Linked DNA regions of Oryzias latipes. The protein of the gene in region 1 interacts with the protein of each later gene in a pairwise test. Links are inferred from orthologs where the notes say so. Each region holds a gene or a part of one and is shown in the gene's direction. Other genes may lie near its edges. The genes, in order: flad1, trim23, syntenin-1 and phosphoribosyltransferase domain-containing protein 1.

Evidence for each region.
Region 2: the proteins of flad1 (region 1) and trim23 interact in binary tests that used the Homo sapiens proteins (3 or more experiments, as listed by UniProt). The two-hybrid records come from large-scale screens. The link is inferred for Oryzias latipes from reciprocal best matches to the Homo sapiens genes FLAD1 and TRIM23.
Region 3: the proteins of flad1 (region 1) and syntenin-1 interact in binary tests that used the Homo sapiens proteins (3 or more experiments, as listed by UniProt). The two-hybrid records come from large-scale screens. The link is inferred for Oryzias latipes from reciprocal best matches to the Homo sapiens genes FLAD1 and SDCBP.
Region 4: the proteins of flad1 (region 1) and phosphoribosyltransferase domain-containing protein 1 interact in binary tests that used the Homo sapiens proteins (3 or more experiments, as listed by UniProt). The two-hybrid records come from large-scale screens. The link is inferred for Oryzias latipes from reciprocal best matches to the Homo sapiens genes FLAD1 and PRTFDC1.

The regions. Positions count from the first base shown.
Region 1 is NC_019874.2:18,344,440-18,348,597, forward strand, and holds the start of flad1 (FAD synthase), read left to right. Parts: upstream 1-1,302; 5' UTR 1,303-1,505; intron 1,506-1,590; 5' UTR 1,591-1,657; intron 1,658-2,398; 5' UTR 2,399-2,482; coding exon 2,483-2,490; intron 2,491-2,618; coding exon 2,619-2,766; intron 2,767-3,240; coding exon 3,241-3,618; intron 3,619-3,817; coding exon 3,818-3,931; intron 3,932-4,015; coding exon 4,016-4,158. UniProt on the Homo sapiens protein: Catalyzes the adenylation of flavin mononucleotide (FMN) to form flavin adenine dinucleotide (FAD) coenzyme.
Region 2 is NC_019870.2:3,055,389-3,058,467, reverse strand, and holds part of trim23 (E3 ubiquitin-protein ligase TRIM23), read left to right. Parts: intron 1-1,984; coding exon 1,985-2,119; intron 2,120-2,190; coding exon 2,191-2,320; intron 2,321-2,400; coding exon 2,401-2,511; intron 2,512-3,079.
Region 3 is NC_019865.2:5,716,935-5,721,135, reverse strand, and holds the start of syntenin-1, read left to right. Parts: upstream 1-1,358; 5' UTR 1,359-1,526; intron 1,527-4,201. UniProt on the Homo sapiens protein: Multifunctional adapter protein involved in diverse array of functions including trafficking of transmembrane proteins, neuro and immunomodulation, exosome biogenesis, and tumorigenesis.
Region 4 is NC_019875.2:25,189,659-25,193,671, forward strand, and holds the start of phosphoribosyltransferase domain-containing protein 1, read left to right. Parts: upstream 1-1,167; 5' UTR 1,168-1,327; coding exon 1,328-1,375; intron 1,376-1,546; coding exon 1,547-1,653; intron 1,654-3,717; coding exon 3,718-3,901; intron 3,902-4,013. UniProt on the Homo sapiens protein: Has low, barely detectable phosphoribosyltransferase activity (in vitro). Binds GMP, IMP and alpha-D-5-phosphoribosyl 1-pyrophosphate (PRPP). Is not expected to contribute to purine metabolism or GMP salvage.

The DNA.
Region 1 (4,158 bases):
ACTCAGAAAAGCCCCCCCCCCACCTTTTTTTGTATGTTTTCCCTTCTAAATAACTTTATAACATCTTTATATGGACACATTTCTGCAACAATATAACAATAATGTTAATATTTTTAAAAAATAGATTATTTTTTACAAAATAGCTAGATTTATTACATTGATTATCTACAAAAACAACATCATGTTTAGACTGCAGCAGCAACATGTACATAACATCTTCATATTGTATTACTTCATGAGGAAGAACGGCTATTTTTATTTATAACCAAAAACTGAGAAAAGCTCTTCTAAAAATGTTTTTGTCAAGTTTCATAGTCTAAAAAAACTTTAGCCCTGTGTCCTCACATTAATAGAAGTAAAACTGATGGTTTAAATAAACGATGGGTGCTGGTCGTCTGTCAGGAGAGTGAAGGCTAACCTTTTATTATACAGGTCAAAAACTGATCAATCTGCAGGAATATCTGCAGGTTTTATTTTTACTACTCTATTATACATGAGTGATGTGTAAGATAAACTAACCTTTCTTCAGCTCACTGCAGCCTCTGCTGGGACAGAACTTACTGCAGTCATGGATGTCTTTGTGAGTAAATTCTGTCAAACTGCAATAAAGTAATGAAACTTAAAAAGCAACAAAACAATGCCAACAAAAGAAAATCTAAACCCAAGACTTAAAGAGACTGCTCACAACAATAAAGGAGACCTTTATTGACCTGCGTTACTGCTGCAAATTGGAGATGCTCTGGATTTTATTTATTAATTAAATATTTATTTATATACATTTATTAAATGCATCTGCTCTCTCTCTCTCTCTCTCTCTCTCTCTCTCTCTCTCTCTCTCTCTCTCTCTCATAAAGACTCCAGGACTAATTTTGAAAAGACAGGATCCTTTTGTTTATTTTTCAGATTTGACTTCCACATCCTTGATTCTCCATTTTAGAAATTACCATCTAAAATTTTTTTAAAATGTAATCTGACAATTCCATAAAAAGAATAAAAAAAGGGGGGAAACAGACAAGGACACTGAACTGCTCAACATGATCAATTTGGTTTAAAGTTTGTTTTTTTGTATTCTAATGTTGTGCAATAATTTAAATGTAGGTCAGGTTTTTTTTTATCTGTCTTTAAAATAGACACTAAACCTTCAACACGTCGCTAAAATTTCGCCTCTTTTTACAGAAAATATTACATAAACAAAAATGCGCCATCAACATTTCCGGATTGATCATCTTCAAGGTTGATAATCTGATCAGAAATTTCCGATTTGATCCTCCCAGCCACTAGGGGCGTGCGAGAGTAGCTGTTGTCCTTTTCTCTCCCCTTCGAAGAAGTCGTCCCTCGCATCCTTCCGCGACGGTCAGCTTGACAGTAGCTCAAATCGTCAAATCTGGGGGAAAAGACTTTTTAGATACCAGACGTATGCAATGCCTTTCTCGGTACAGTCAAACTACAGCTTCACACCACCTGGACAAACTAAGACGATCACCGTTATCGTGCTTCCGGATATTGTAAGAACATGCATAACGTTAAAACCCGCCCCTTGAAAGTCATTGGCTGTTAACGTCACTTTCCTTTTTGTGATTGGACCAAAAGGGCTTGAGCCACCGTCGTCACAGCTGTGGGGATTCATAACGAGGACATATGCGGCTTCAGAGTAACAGTAAGTTACCTTTAAATTAAGGACATAATGTTCACATACCGGACTACAAATTCGATACACTACGAGCGCATCTTAACTGAGAATCGCAAATGTTTATATTAATAGTATAAAAAGGTATTTAGTATTTTAGCAATAATGCGATGTTGTTGACTTCCCTTCCAAAGGTTGAAGTAGTACCTAGCAAGAAGACTTCAGAGTTACTAGCGTACATTTGAAAGTCCTTAACGCGGGCACTAGTTTTTTCCCCCAAAGTAGTTGCTTCTTTTAAAATATAAAAATACAGAACTTTGTCCATAACTGTATTTAAGTTGGTGTAAAAAAATAATATGTAAAGGGTACATAAGACTGAGATTGTGTCCAACGTTGCTACTCTCTCTGTAACTTACTAGAAAATAATCACAGTAAAGAAAAACTGGGTCTCCAACGTTGCAGACTTACAATGTGATCGTTTTCTTTATTTCATAAATTTATTGTATAATACAAATTGGCAATATGAATTTTAGCAACATCAACAAATAAAGGTTTATGTTAGATACTGCAGCATAATTATGAAAGTCCATGTTGACTTTGTTTTAGTTGTTCCATGGAAGATTTTGAAGGTGGACAATAGCATTTCTGACCCAAATTATTACATGACTTGCATTTTAAATAAAAATTGCCGATGTTCAAAATCTCAGAACTACATTCGTTTTTCTAAATGCTCTTTGCCCTTATTTCTTCTTATGTTTTTTGTTTCCCTAGACACCCCCTAATTGAATAGGAATCATGAAGGGAAAGAGGGTCTGAACTGCTGTAGATCTTTTTTTGGGTGGTCTGTGTGGATCCATGTTTATGTAAGCATTGTTGTTTGTGCATGAAGGAACATATAGTGACTAATTTTAGCCTTTAAAGGCGACTTTTAAGAGATGGTTTGGAATTTGTTTTGGAGTTGAACACTTATACGTCACACATTTCTTCCCAGCTTTTCCTTGCCCAGTTTAAGTAGAGCGGGGGTGCGTGTGAGGAGGCTGACGGCACAACTCAGCAGAGCAGCCATGTCCGCCGAGAGGCAGAGCTCCACTGCGGCTCCCACTGCAGCCATTCTTATCATTGGAGATGAGATTCTAAAGGTGAGGTTTTTTTGTTGTTGATTGATATTTTTGCTTTGTGTTGCTTTCAACCTCAGAATGAGTGGCAGAGGCTCGCTTCTTGAAAGATCACGCACAACTGCCTCCTGAATACGGCTTAAATAAACGATGTTTGATGTTATTAACATGTGCAGTGAGTCGTTATCATTTTGGGCCTCTTATCCCGTCTCAGATCCCCATTTCAAGATCCAAGGAAAACCTTGTGATGGTTATTTGATGTGGCAGTGATGTTTCATATTTAAAATGACAAGTTGACTATAACTCCTTGACTTGACATGATCATGATTTAAACATGAGCTCTTTGATTTTCGTCCAATGTCACGCCTCACTCTCAGCATACGCTCACTGTGACTCCTTGAATTTCATCAGGCGGCGGTCTGGAGTTTTTTGTAGTCCTTGAATGTCACTTGTGTGTGTGGCTGCAAACTCTAGAGTCAAACTTTGTCTTCTTTTCAGGGCTACACAGTGGACACCAACAGCACCTTTCTAACACAAGCACTTCGCAGACTTGGCGTCTCTGTACAGCGTATAACCGTCATACCAGATATACAGGAGGTCATAGCCAAAGAGGTAGCCCTCCTCTCCTCTCAGTATACACACCTGTTCACCTCGGGGGGCATCGGACCCACCCATGACGATGTCACCTTGGAAAGCATTGCCATGGCATTCCAAGAGGAGATGTATCACCATCCGGATCTCACCTTGCTGGTTAAGGAATTCTTTGGGGGGACGGACAAAAACAGTCCGGCCATGAAGATGGCTAAGGTGCCCCGTTCTGCCAAACTCAACTATGGAGTGGATCCTCAAACTGGGAAACCACAACTCTACCCTGTGGTATGTTAATGTTTACAGAATGGGATTCATAGCTTTAAGTAATTTATATTCACTTCTTCAATATCCTTGAAAATGAATTTCATGCATCTTGTCAGGTTCAGATAAAAATTTTCATGATTTTAAGAAGTTCTTATAGGTCAGGATATTTTTTGTGGTGAAGACGTGTTTGTTTTTCTTGTATGAATGCTCATTCTCACAGGTCAGTGTGCGTAATGTGTATGTGTTCCCTGGGATCCCGGCTTTAATGGAGAGGGCCTTCACGGGGCTGGAACAGCTCTTTGCTACTTCAGGAACCACCTTTCACAGTCGTGAGGTAACGCCATCATCATGCAAGTCATTCAAGGATTTTCATGTGTTTTACTAGGGCAAAAAGGGGTAACCAAACTTGTCCTGTAAGGTGTTTGTGGATGCAGATGAGACAGACATCGCACCCACTCTGACCAAACTGCAGGCCAGCTGGGGCAAAAGGGTGGCTCTTGGGTCCTACCCCGACTGGTTGAGTAACTACAGCAAAGTCAGACTGGTCCTGGATTCGGAGAG
Region 2 (3,079 bases), on another chromosome or scaffold:
ACACATTAACTCACAACACAACACAATAACTCACAACACAACACATTAACTCACAACACAACACAATAACTCACAACAGATTAACTCACAACACAACACATTAACTCACAACGGAAGTAAAGCAGCAATGGAAGTGCTTTTATTCTGAAATTTCCACTGGGCTGATTGGCTAACTGCCTAACAGAAAGTAACGTCACAGTGAGCTGTGGAGGGAGCATGTTTCTTCTACAAGAGAAGCTACACAATGTTAACGCACACTCCTCCGCGCTGCACTCACACCCCTCTCTGTCGCTGCGCGTGCTCCGCTCCTCTCCGTTCTTCAGCCCCCTCCTCTCACACTCACTCGGTCCCCAACACCCCCCACCCACCCACACACCCTCCCAGTCCCTGCACGCGCTCCTCTCCTTTCTTCCCCTCCCTCTTCCTCTCACACACGCACGCGGTCCCCAACACTTGACACGACACATGTGGAGAAATCCCCACTGTCAGGCTTTAATGAACACAATTTCTAAGAGGCGGGGCGTTGCACTCCCCCAACAACAGGTTAGATGACAAAACCCGGTCCATTAAGCTCTGCCGTTCACGGAGCTTCAGTAGAACTCCAAAAGCCACACGGCCTAACGTAGGCCGCTATTATATATTCATGAGTGGGAAAAAACCCGCTGAACCGACCTTTAAACCATACAAATTATGCATTTTTGACCGCAAATTTACACCCAAAACCGCCCAATCTGGCAACGCTGCTGCTAGCTTCTCTTGTAGAAAATCATGCTCCCTCCACAGCTCACTGTGACGTTACTTTCTGTGAGGCAGTTAGCCGCTCAGCCCAGTTGAAATTTCAGAATAAAAGCACTTCCATTGCAGCTTTACTTCCGTTGTGAGTTAATGTGTTGTGTTGTGAGTTAATGTGTTGTGAGTTATTGTGTTGTGTTGTGAGTTATTGTGTTGTATTGTGAGTTAATGTGTTGTGTTGTGAGTTATTGTGTTGTGTTGTGAGTTAATGTGTTGTGTTGTGAGTTATTGTGTTGTGTTGTGATTAATGTGTTGTGTTGTGAGTTAATGTGTTGTGTTGTAAAGTTAATGTGTTGTGTGTAAAGTTAATGTGTTGTGTTGTAATTTATTGTGTTGTGTTGTGAGTTATTGTGTTGTGTTGTGAGTTAATGTGTTGTGTTGTGAGTTAATGTGTTGTGTTGTGAGTTATTGTGTTGTGTTGTGATTAATGTGTTGTGTTGTGAGTTAATGTGTTGTGTTGTAAAGTTAATGTGTTGTGTGTAAAGTTAATGTGTTGTGTGTAAAGTTAATTTGTTGTGTTGTGATTTAATGTGTTGTGTGTAAAGTTAATGTGTTGTGTTGTGAGTTAATGTGTTGTGTGTAAAGTTAATGTGTTGTGTTGTGACCCTTCTGGGCCACCGTACTAAATAGTGCCTTCAGCATTTTCTAGTTCTGTCCGAATCTACAATTCCAAAATCCAGTGCCCTGGAAATTTCCCTGAAGTCTCTGCAAAAAAACCTGTGTGCATCGATGCTCACTATATCATTTAATATAGACCACAATGCATTGCGTCGGAACATTTTATACCAAAATAAATGCGTTAAAATGTATTTTTTTAATAGACCATCAATGTTTTTATTTTCAGGAGACAGTGGACTCATAAATAATCGTCGCAAAACGCTCACAGCACTTCGTGAAATTGATGACATCATATTCGCCGTTTAAAACAAAAGTAGTGAGCGTGGCGTCCGAATTGCTGTTAAAATTCAGGGCTCGACATAGTGCAGCACTATAGAGTTTTTTAGTAGTTAGGGGTTATGGTGGGAATTTGGACAGAGCCTTGATCTTATTTTGAAAATGTTCGTGTGTTTTAGAATTTGGATCAGTTTTTTTGTTCATGATAACTTCTCTGAATCAGTAGGAGTAGAGTGGTGCGTTCCAAGGCATTGAAAGCACCGTGTTGTGTTTGCGTGCGGCTTCTCTCCCGATGCAGGACGACTGCAGGGTTGTTCTGGCAAAGCAGGAGATCAGCTGTTTACTGGAGACGCTTCAGAAGCAGCAGCACCAGTTCACGGAGCTGGCAGACCACATCCAGCTGGACGCCGGCATCCCCGTCACCTTCACCAAGGTCTTCGTCTGCGTTTGGAAACCTTTGCCTCGCGGTGACAAACCCAAAGCTAAACTGAAACGTGTCTTCAGGACAACCGAGTTCACATCGGACCAAAGATGGAGATCCGGGTGGTGACTCTGGGGCTCGATGGGGCTGGAAAAACAACCATTCTATTCAAGCTGAAGCAAGACGAGTTCATGCAGCCCATCCCAACCATCGGTAAAGACGTCTGCACTGGTTAACCATACGATCTTTGAAAGATTGAGTTGAATGAAACTTGGTTCTGGTTCTTTTTTGAGGCTTCAACGTGGAGACCGTCGAGTACAAGAACTTAAAATTTACCATCTGGGACGTTGGTGGAAAGCATAAGCTGAGGCCGCTCTGGAAACACTATTATCTCAACACTCAAGGTTGGTGCTTCACTTGTTATTCTTCTGATTAACTTATAGTGGTTAAATGAAAAAGGAGATTTTGCTCAGCTTTAGTTTCTTTTTTTATCGACCAAGAACTTCGCAGATGGGGTCTTCTGGAAATTGTCTCAGTAACAGCAGGAACAGACTTTTTTTTAACTTTATCTAAAGTTGTTTTTAGACTTTTTTTTGTAAACTCACTTTGAGGGAATTGCACCACAGACTTGTCCTGTAGTCGTCCTCATCCAGAGAGTCGAGTTGTAGTAAATGCTTGTGTGCAAAGCTCACTTTAAGCTGACTGCATATGAAAACTGGACGGAGTGACTCCTCCCCCCTGGCGTCCCAAACAGGAGGTAAATCCTGGCTCCCAGAAGCCAAAAACCTATAGACTTCTATAAATAAACCGCTATTACTCAATCAATGAATGATTTTTCACCTTTTCTATCACAATTTAAGGCTCCAGCAGAAAGAAATGGATCAGAGTAGAACTACCAATCAGATTGACTTGATTTCAATTTATTTAACAATTTACATTTAAACCAAATGGATGTTATTTTTACTTTTGCAT
Region 3 (4,201 bases), on another chromosome or scaffold:
AGTAGTAATTTTTCAATGAATAACAATGAGTCATGTTTTTTTTTTCTTTTTCAATTAGCAACATTATCCCTGTCAAGTGTTTTTGAGATTTCATGGAAGCAGCCAATTGGAAATGAACAGAAAAAGGTGAAATGATGATCCACAACAAAAAACATGGACCAGGTTCTATACAATGGGTTTTAAATAAAGTTTGATAATGCGGTAGGGTTCTCAGAAATGCAGGTATCTAACATAATATGAATGGTTATATAAGGTAAGAAGCTCCTCCATCCTTCAGTGGTCTGTATTGATGGCACGAGTTTAAATTGGTTACCTGTGTAAAAGACACGTCTCCGCGACCAATACCTAAGAGCTGTCTCAGGACACCAGAGGCAATATTGTTGTAAGTTTACCTATGATGAACATTACAGACCTCTCATCGTTTTAAGGGGGACAACTTGCAGGATTGATAAGTAACAAATACTTTTTTGCCCCACTGTATATGTGAAAAAGCAGAGCACAGGTCTTTGAAGACATTAATACGACCACAACCTTTGGAACATCAAAATGATGTTAATGTTGCTCACAAAAACAGAGTAAACATATTTTTTTTAAACAGTTATGTTTACTGATTATACATAAATGCAATAAAGACATTTTATTCCTACGTTTCAGACATAAATAATCTCTACAGTCACCCAAAGGGTGCAGAGGGGAGAGTTAAGGAGCTTAAAGTGTAGCTGACTGGAGCATACCAACTTTAACTGTGTAGTTTCATTAATAAGAAAGAACAATTATCAACTGGTTGACAAATGGATTTATCCGCCTAAAAAAAAAAAAAAGAATATTTATCCATGAGACCGTGTGCAAATCTGAGCTCCTATCAACTCATAAAAGGTGTTTTTTTTTTTTTTTTTACTAAGCCTGCATGAGGTGACAGTCGGAAGGAATGACTCATAAATAACCTCCAGCAAAATCAGACTATGTCATACAACTGTAATAAACAAACATCAACATCTGAGATAAAACCAGGAGAAATTTGATGTAAAAAATATTACTAATGTTGGTTTATAACAGTATAAAAATGTAAGAAAATGGAAAGAGAATAAAAAATGCTTCTAATGCCCTAGGTTATGGAGGATTTTGGAACATCTACAAACTTTTTCCAGAGACATTCTTGAAAAGCCTAACACTGAACAGTTACACACACGTCAAAGATCATTTGGGAATTTAATTTATCAGCTAAATTAACACAATTCTCTTCTAACATTAATTTATATAAGTATCACTTATTATGACCTTATATCACACAGAAGTTCAGTCACAAGACCTTCATAAAACCAGCCTGAGTCAGGGGTCATGTGACTGAAACTGGGCGTGTCTTATAACGTCAGCTGTGATTGACATGGTGCACAGGAGCAGGAAGCCAACAGTGACGTCACTTTCTAGAAGTCCCCTTAAGGTGTCTGCGACGAGAAGACCGAAGAGGCAGAAAATAACGGAGTGCTCATCTTTTTTTGGACTTTGAAACAAATTCACATCTACAGGTGAGCTATGTTTAATTTTTTTAAGTATCGCCGCGAGGCCATCTGTCGTACGTAGCTGTAACTGAGGTGAATTTCTGTTTTTACCTACATGCTAACGCCGTTAGCTAACCTCCCTCTAGCTGTTTATGCCGGAACAAAGACGCTTCTTTGAGCTCCTTCTTCTTCAAATTTTATTCTATTTTAATCCACGCGCTCGCTTCAGTCTCATGCTATTGTATTTATGAACGTGAAAAATATATGTTTTCTATATCAACAATGCTGCTTCTTATATGTGTGTACAGTTTCGGGTAACGTTCAGGAACATCTCGCGCGTCTCAAGTTAGCTTCGCCTCGAAACGAGAGTCTGTTTTAAAATATCATCATCACAAGAGTATAAAGAATTTGATTATTCTGCTGATTTATTTATAGTGTTGTGGGTTGTTAACTTATTTAAAAACCCACCCAAAGCGGCCTTTGTGGAGATTAGTGTCTGATCAACACAACTGTTCTCAGTTTTGAGCACGCGGGCCAATTAATTTGAATGCTTTTGCTTTAGTTTCCCCTTTTTCTTTCCTTGATTCCCGAAGACGTCAGCATTTTTTCCCCCTTTCCAGTCTTAATAAGTCATGTTTCTCGTTTCTTCCGGCTGTACCTTTATCAAAATAAATGGTGATCAGTGAAAATGTATTATTTTGATAGGATAAGAGTTTAAATTTAAAGCTTATATCATTTAAAATAGGAAAAATAATTATATCAGAGTGGCTAACTATAAAAAAAATGTATATCTCAAGTTTCCAATCAAAGTGGATCACTCAAAAAGTTTGGCTAATGGTTAATAAGAAAAAAAATAAGCTAATTGTTATAAGAACTGAGGCACAACACTGGTAAGAACAGGGATGAACTATCACTTATAAATTAAACCTTTTTAATTATTTAAGCCTGTCATTTTTGGTTATTTTAAGTGTGTGGTGAGTCCATCTTAAACCAAACCAAATATAATTCTTAGAAGTTAAGGGCTGCTTTAACATGTTTTCATTTGTTTGTTTTCCGTTCATGTTTTTAAAGGAATTTGTTAGTTTGACATTATATTTATAGACTCAAGTAGAAGTAAAGTTTATAAAAAAAAAAAAAAAAACAGTAAATGAATAATCTGCTAGATTTTCAGAATAAAGCAGAAGCTTTAGATCGAGTTCTGCTGAATGGGCTGCTCACACCAAAATATGTTGAATGGGAGCAAACACATGCCAGGCCTGGTGTGTCTGAGCCTTTGCACAAGCTTTCTTTGGCATTCCTCCTAATATAACACTACTTTGAGTTTCTTGACTTTTTTTTGCAAGCAAGTTAGATGAAACATTTGTTTTAAAAAAACTAACAGGAAACCAGTACACACATATTTAACAGTCTGAAACAAAAGAAAATTCTTTTGTCATGTTAACCTTCACTTGTTAATGTGACCTTCATATATATTTTCCGTCATCAGAAATCTTTACCTTAACAATCCATAAAAAAAACTTTTTTAACCTCCTTCAGAAAGGGTTCCTTCTTGTATATTTCAGTAAAATGATCTGCGCCTTGTTTTCCGTCGCAGTGGCAGACGTCTCAATGATCCTGTTATGTCATCTGAAGGGTTGCTCAAATGCTGCTGTTTTGTTTCCAGGCGTATTCATGTTCAGCCAGAGAGTCTGTATGAGAGAGGCATACAAAGCAAGCAAACACATAGCTGAAGAGTAAACAGTGGAAGGTTAACAAAAAGGCCTCTCTGTGTCCACACACACACAATGATGCACTTGTCCTGGAGGACTGAGATGAGCAGAATGGAGTGAGCCCTCAGTGATGTTAAAAAACCAACTGTTGCTTGATTTATGCTCTCTACATAAACTGGATTGTAGGACCTGTTTTTGTAGCTCTGATGTTTCTAATCTTCACACTTGAAGCAGCAGCTCTTCAAAGCTGACAGTCTGCCTCACAGAAGAGCTACTCTGATCTCAGAACCATACTTTACATCAGCCTCCTAATGCACATCGATATAATGATTGACTTAGTGCTGCACGGTGGCCTCTTTGGTCTTAACCGACATGTTAAAAGTCCTGCTCCAGCGTCTTTTCCTGTCTATGTGTCACATGATTTTTCCTGATTAGACCGCGCTGTTTCAGTGTCATTCTGTGTGTGAACTGGTGGATAGATTCTGATCAGTTGAGATTCCTTTGCGGATTTTGGAGGATTTGAAACGTTTTCACATAAAATAAAAAGGTTCCTAAAAAGCAGCATTAACTTGATCTAACAGCTGCACGTTTCTATCTAATAAGATCTGCTGACGCAAATGGTAATAAAAAGAGAATGCAAACTTCACCTGGCATTTCTCGTGATCTCACATTGTGTAAAACACATCCGCCTTTACTTTAACAGCACCTGTTTGGAGACACAAACGTCCCTATCATTTCCTACCATTGAGCTCCTGTCTGAAACGGGAAGCTATGCAGAAGAAGAGAACTAAGAGTCGGGCACTTGGATCGTAAACACATGCCATGTGAGATGACTATATCAGTAAATAGACTGTATACATGATGAATACTTTGGGTACAACGTGTTCTGTCTAAGCTAAATTTTTCTTGCCTTTTACTTAGTATTTTTGCATCTTCTGTCTTTTTTTTAATAAGAAAAACGTAATTAAGTCTTTCATAACAGCATTTCATGAT
Region 4 (4,013 bases), on another chromosome or scaffold:
CTAAACAAGGGGAATCAGCGTTTCAATATTCTGCAGCTAAAATCTGGAACAGCCTCCCTGAAGTCGTAAGACAGGCCTCTTCTGTGTTCATGTTCAAATCTAGACTTAAAACATTTCTGTTTAGCCGTGTATATGACTGAAAGGTCCTATCTGCACTTTTCTTTCATTTCCTTCCTCTCTTTTTAAATCAATTTTCTATTTTTTTTTCTTTTCTTTTAAAGTAAATTTTACGTTGATGATTTCTATGATGTATTGTGATATTAATGTATTTTTCTGTTTTGTGAATCACCTTGAATTACTTTGGGTATGAATTGTGCTATACAAATAAACTTGCCTTGCCTTGTCTGAAGAAATACACAATTATTTTTACTTAAGGAGCCAGATTTGAATTAATTTTTAAGATTTATTTAGATCTAGGCAATAAAGCATAAATGTACTATTTTACATCTTCTGTACAACGGGAACATTTTTGTATAGTCCTTCTTTTTACATGCTGATGTAAATATTTTTAGTTTACATACAAGTGTAAATCCTACTAAAAAGTAAAAAGAAGGGACAACATATATAAATATAAATATATAAATATATATATATATATATATATATATTTTTTCTGAAGGTCACTATCCTCTGTGAACACCACCTTTTTTTGGTTGTTTGAATTCCTGAATGTCTTTTTTTTGCTGCTGAAGATAAGAGAATTTCCCCATTGTGGGATGAGTAAAGTCTATCTATCTATATTGAATCTATATAGATAGATAGATAGAATTTTATATTCAAAATTTCCAATATTAGGGAAGAATTTTGAAGACTTATGTCAAATTAAGAGCATCAAACCTGCTCAAAGATGATTCTATAGTTGTATTTGTTTAAAAACAACAGATTCTTTTACGTGTTTAAATTAATATTAAATACTAAAAAATTAAGAAGCAGATTGAAAAAAAACTGTTTGCAGACATGATGAAAACAATGTTAACATGGCATTCAAATAATAATAACAGGGGCACATTTTAAAAATTAGGTGATAAGAATTTAGTGCAGTAACTGTTTGTTTTTGGGGTCTTTTAAGAAAGAAATGTTTTTATTGTGTTAAGATAAGAAAGCGTGTTCTCTTGACTCGGCCGCTCCATTCTGAGGAATTGTGGTGTCACAGCGCCCCTGGTGGCCGCATGTGACACTGCAGAGGGGCAGGGACTCCCGGATGGTTTCACAATAGTGCTCCACATTCCCCCGCGCAGATCCTCCTCCCGACCAGGTCAAACCCCTCCGCACAGACTCGCAGCACTTTGGTTGAAACGAGAGCGGGTTTTTTTTCTTCTTCTTCAAAATGGCTGAAGTTTCTGTCCGGGCCGAGAGCAAAAGCGAGGGCATTGTGGTAATTTAACGAGAGGAAACGAAGAAGTGAATGAACGCGTTTGCGCAGTTTTGCAGGGGGTGGCGCCACGTGTAGACTGTAGAAGTTTGCACCTTTAAAAAACTAAAAATACAGTAAACTTGCAAAGATGCAGACTGAAGATCTAATGCTTTCTGCTGCGTTTCCTCTCAGATTCACGACGACTGGCCAGGTTACAGCCTGGACCTCTTCAGCTACCCAGCGCACTACTACGGAGACTTGGACTGCGTCATCATTCCGCATGGCGTCATCATGGATAGGTACAAAACTCTGGAGGCCTGTCAGATGACCTCCCAGATGTTTGGCCTTCTGTGAGGTTACATCATAGCTCCATGTGTCTTCCAAAGATTTTATAGGATGCCATCTAATTCCTGTGTAGTAAAATGCACCAAAAGTAAAGTTTGTTTTATGTAGATCACCTTTACAATAATCCTTAAACTGTTGTAGATTTTCTTTTTCCATAGGGCAGCATTTAAAATGAACATGCATGTGTGGGATGGCACTGCCAGACAAGTTTTCACATATGATTTGAAGGGAACAGCCCTGCTCCTCATTCCACACATGCATGTTCCTAATGTGACACCAATTCCAAAAGAAATAAACTGTTTTTCCAACAGTTTAAACAACCACTCCAAAAAAAAAAAAAAGTGTTTTTAACATGTTCAACAGCATTTTTCTCCTGACGGAAGATGTAAGCTTAAAATTGCATTTCTGAGTATTTCTTTATTCAAATCATTGTGTATCAGGAGCAAACAAAAATGCAGTTGTAAAAAGCTTGTAGGTGTGACGTAGGGCCTATGACAGCAAGCCACAAGCTCACATACTTCTGCTCCATTCTAAAGCATCCACTTGAAGACAAATAGATCCATGCACGTCTTTGTTCTCCTTGTCTGAGCTGGAATCTGGTACAAAAACTGCACGGCTGCAATAGTGCTCTGCATTTCTGTTGGACTGAAAATGTTAGGATGGGGTTGTGAGGGGCTGTAAGCCAGTGGGAGAGAGTGTAAACAAAAGGGATGGTGGGAAAAGGGTAGGCCTGCTTTGTGCCAGTGGTCACTCAGAAGTAAACTTCACATGAACTACTGCTGCTCTGCAGAAACTATGTCCTAGATAACAAAAGACGTTTTTTTTTATTTATGATTTTAAAAAAAACAAGGGAACACTTTGAAAATAGATCAAAAGGGGATCAGAGGGGAACTTTAACGTTTTTAGGCTTTTAAAACAAAGAAATCTGTTAAAAGTAAAAGCTTACTCACTTTGTTTAGAAATAACCTGCTAGAATTCAGGATTGGGAAAGAAAAGTAAACCTTAAAGGTAGAGGAAGTTATTAAAAAAATCCTAATTACATTAGTTTACAATTTCTAAAATAAAAACTGCTATTAAAAAGTAGTTTTAGTTTAGATTCCTCACTTTTCACCACTCCATCCTCATTTTAGCTATAAACCTTTGCAAAAGGTAAAAAAAAAACGTACACTTGAGGTCTATTTTATGAAGTATACTTGTGTATAAGTATATCAAGTATAATGTTGAGTGTGTAGAAAGTATACTAACTGAATACTTTACAGACTAAATTTGAAAATTTTAATCACACAATAATTAAAATATATAAGTACCACTTTTAGAATAGACTACTTGTATTAGACTTAAAAATACTATTTTTTGTTAACAGAAATTACAATCTACCAAATATCTTTAACTTATTTGTGTGACAAATGAAATACTATAGAAATCAAAGTATGTCAAACAAAATTCAAGAGATGCTAATGTTTAATTTGTCTGCCATGCACAAACCTAATCTTAACTGCTACAGATGAGGTTTTTTTTTTCAAACGTGTCACATTTTGTAAAAAACACTTTGCAATAATGAGGAAATGTACAACAAAACAAGTAAATTTATTACTATTAGGAACTTTAGTGAAACTCTTTATTAATGGAATCATTATGTCTCCATTATGTCTTCTTAAACAATAAAATATCTAAAGAGGAAATGGTTATGAAACAAAATGGTCTCAGTTCCTAAAAATGGATTGGATTATTTTTCCCCTCTCACAATCTGTCTTCCCATAGATTTCTTTGTTCTGCCTGCATAAACCTAATTACATAAACTCTTGTGATGTACACTACTTCATAAAGTGCAAAAATGTGTTAAAAAAATAGATTTTTTTTTCCTGGCGCTCATGAAAAAATACAAAAGAAATTGGAATTTGAAAAACAAAAAACCTTTTTAAAAGGCTCTAAAGCCATTTGATGTCACATTTTTATGAAATAACCTGGACAGCTTTGGGAACTCCTGCTGCAGAGCCTCTTTGTTGTGTCGTTTCAAGGACGGAGCGCCTGGCTCGGAACATCATGGATGACCTGGGCGACCATGACATTGTGGTTCTGTGCGTGCTGAAAGGAGGTTACCAGTTCTGCGCCGACCTGGTGGACAGGATCAAAGCTCTCAGCTGCAACTCCGACCACACAATTCCCATGAGAGTTCACTTCATCCGCCTGAAGAGTTACCTGGTGAGCTTTCATCCTGCTGCAGGGCAGGAAGTGATGATGTTGACATCCAATGATCATGGGTTAAAAATGTGTGGGAGTGGCCTGCCGCTTTTCACGCATGTGGTTATCATCC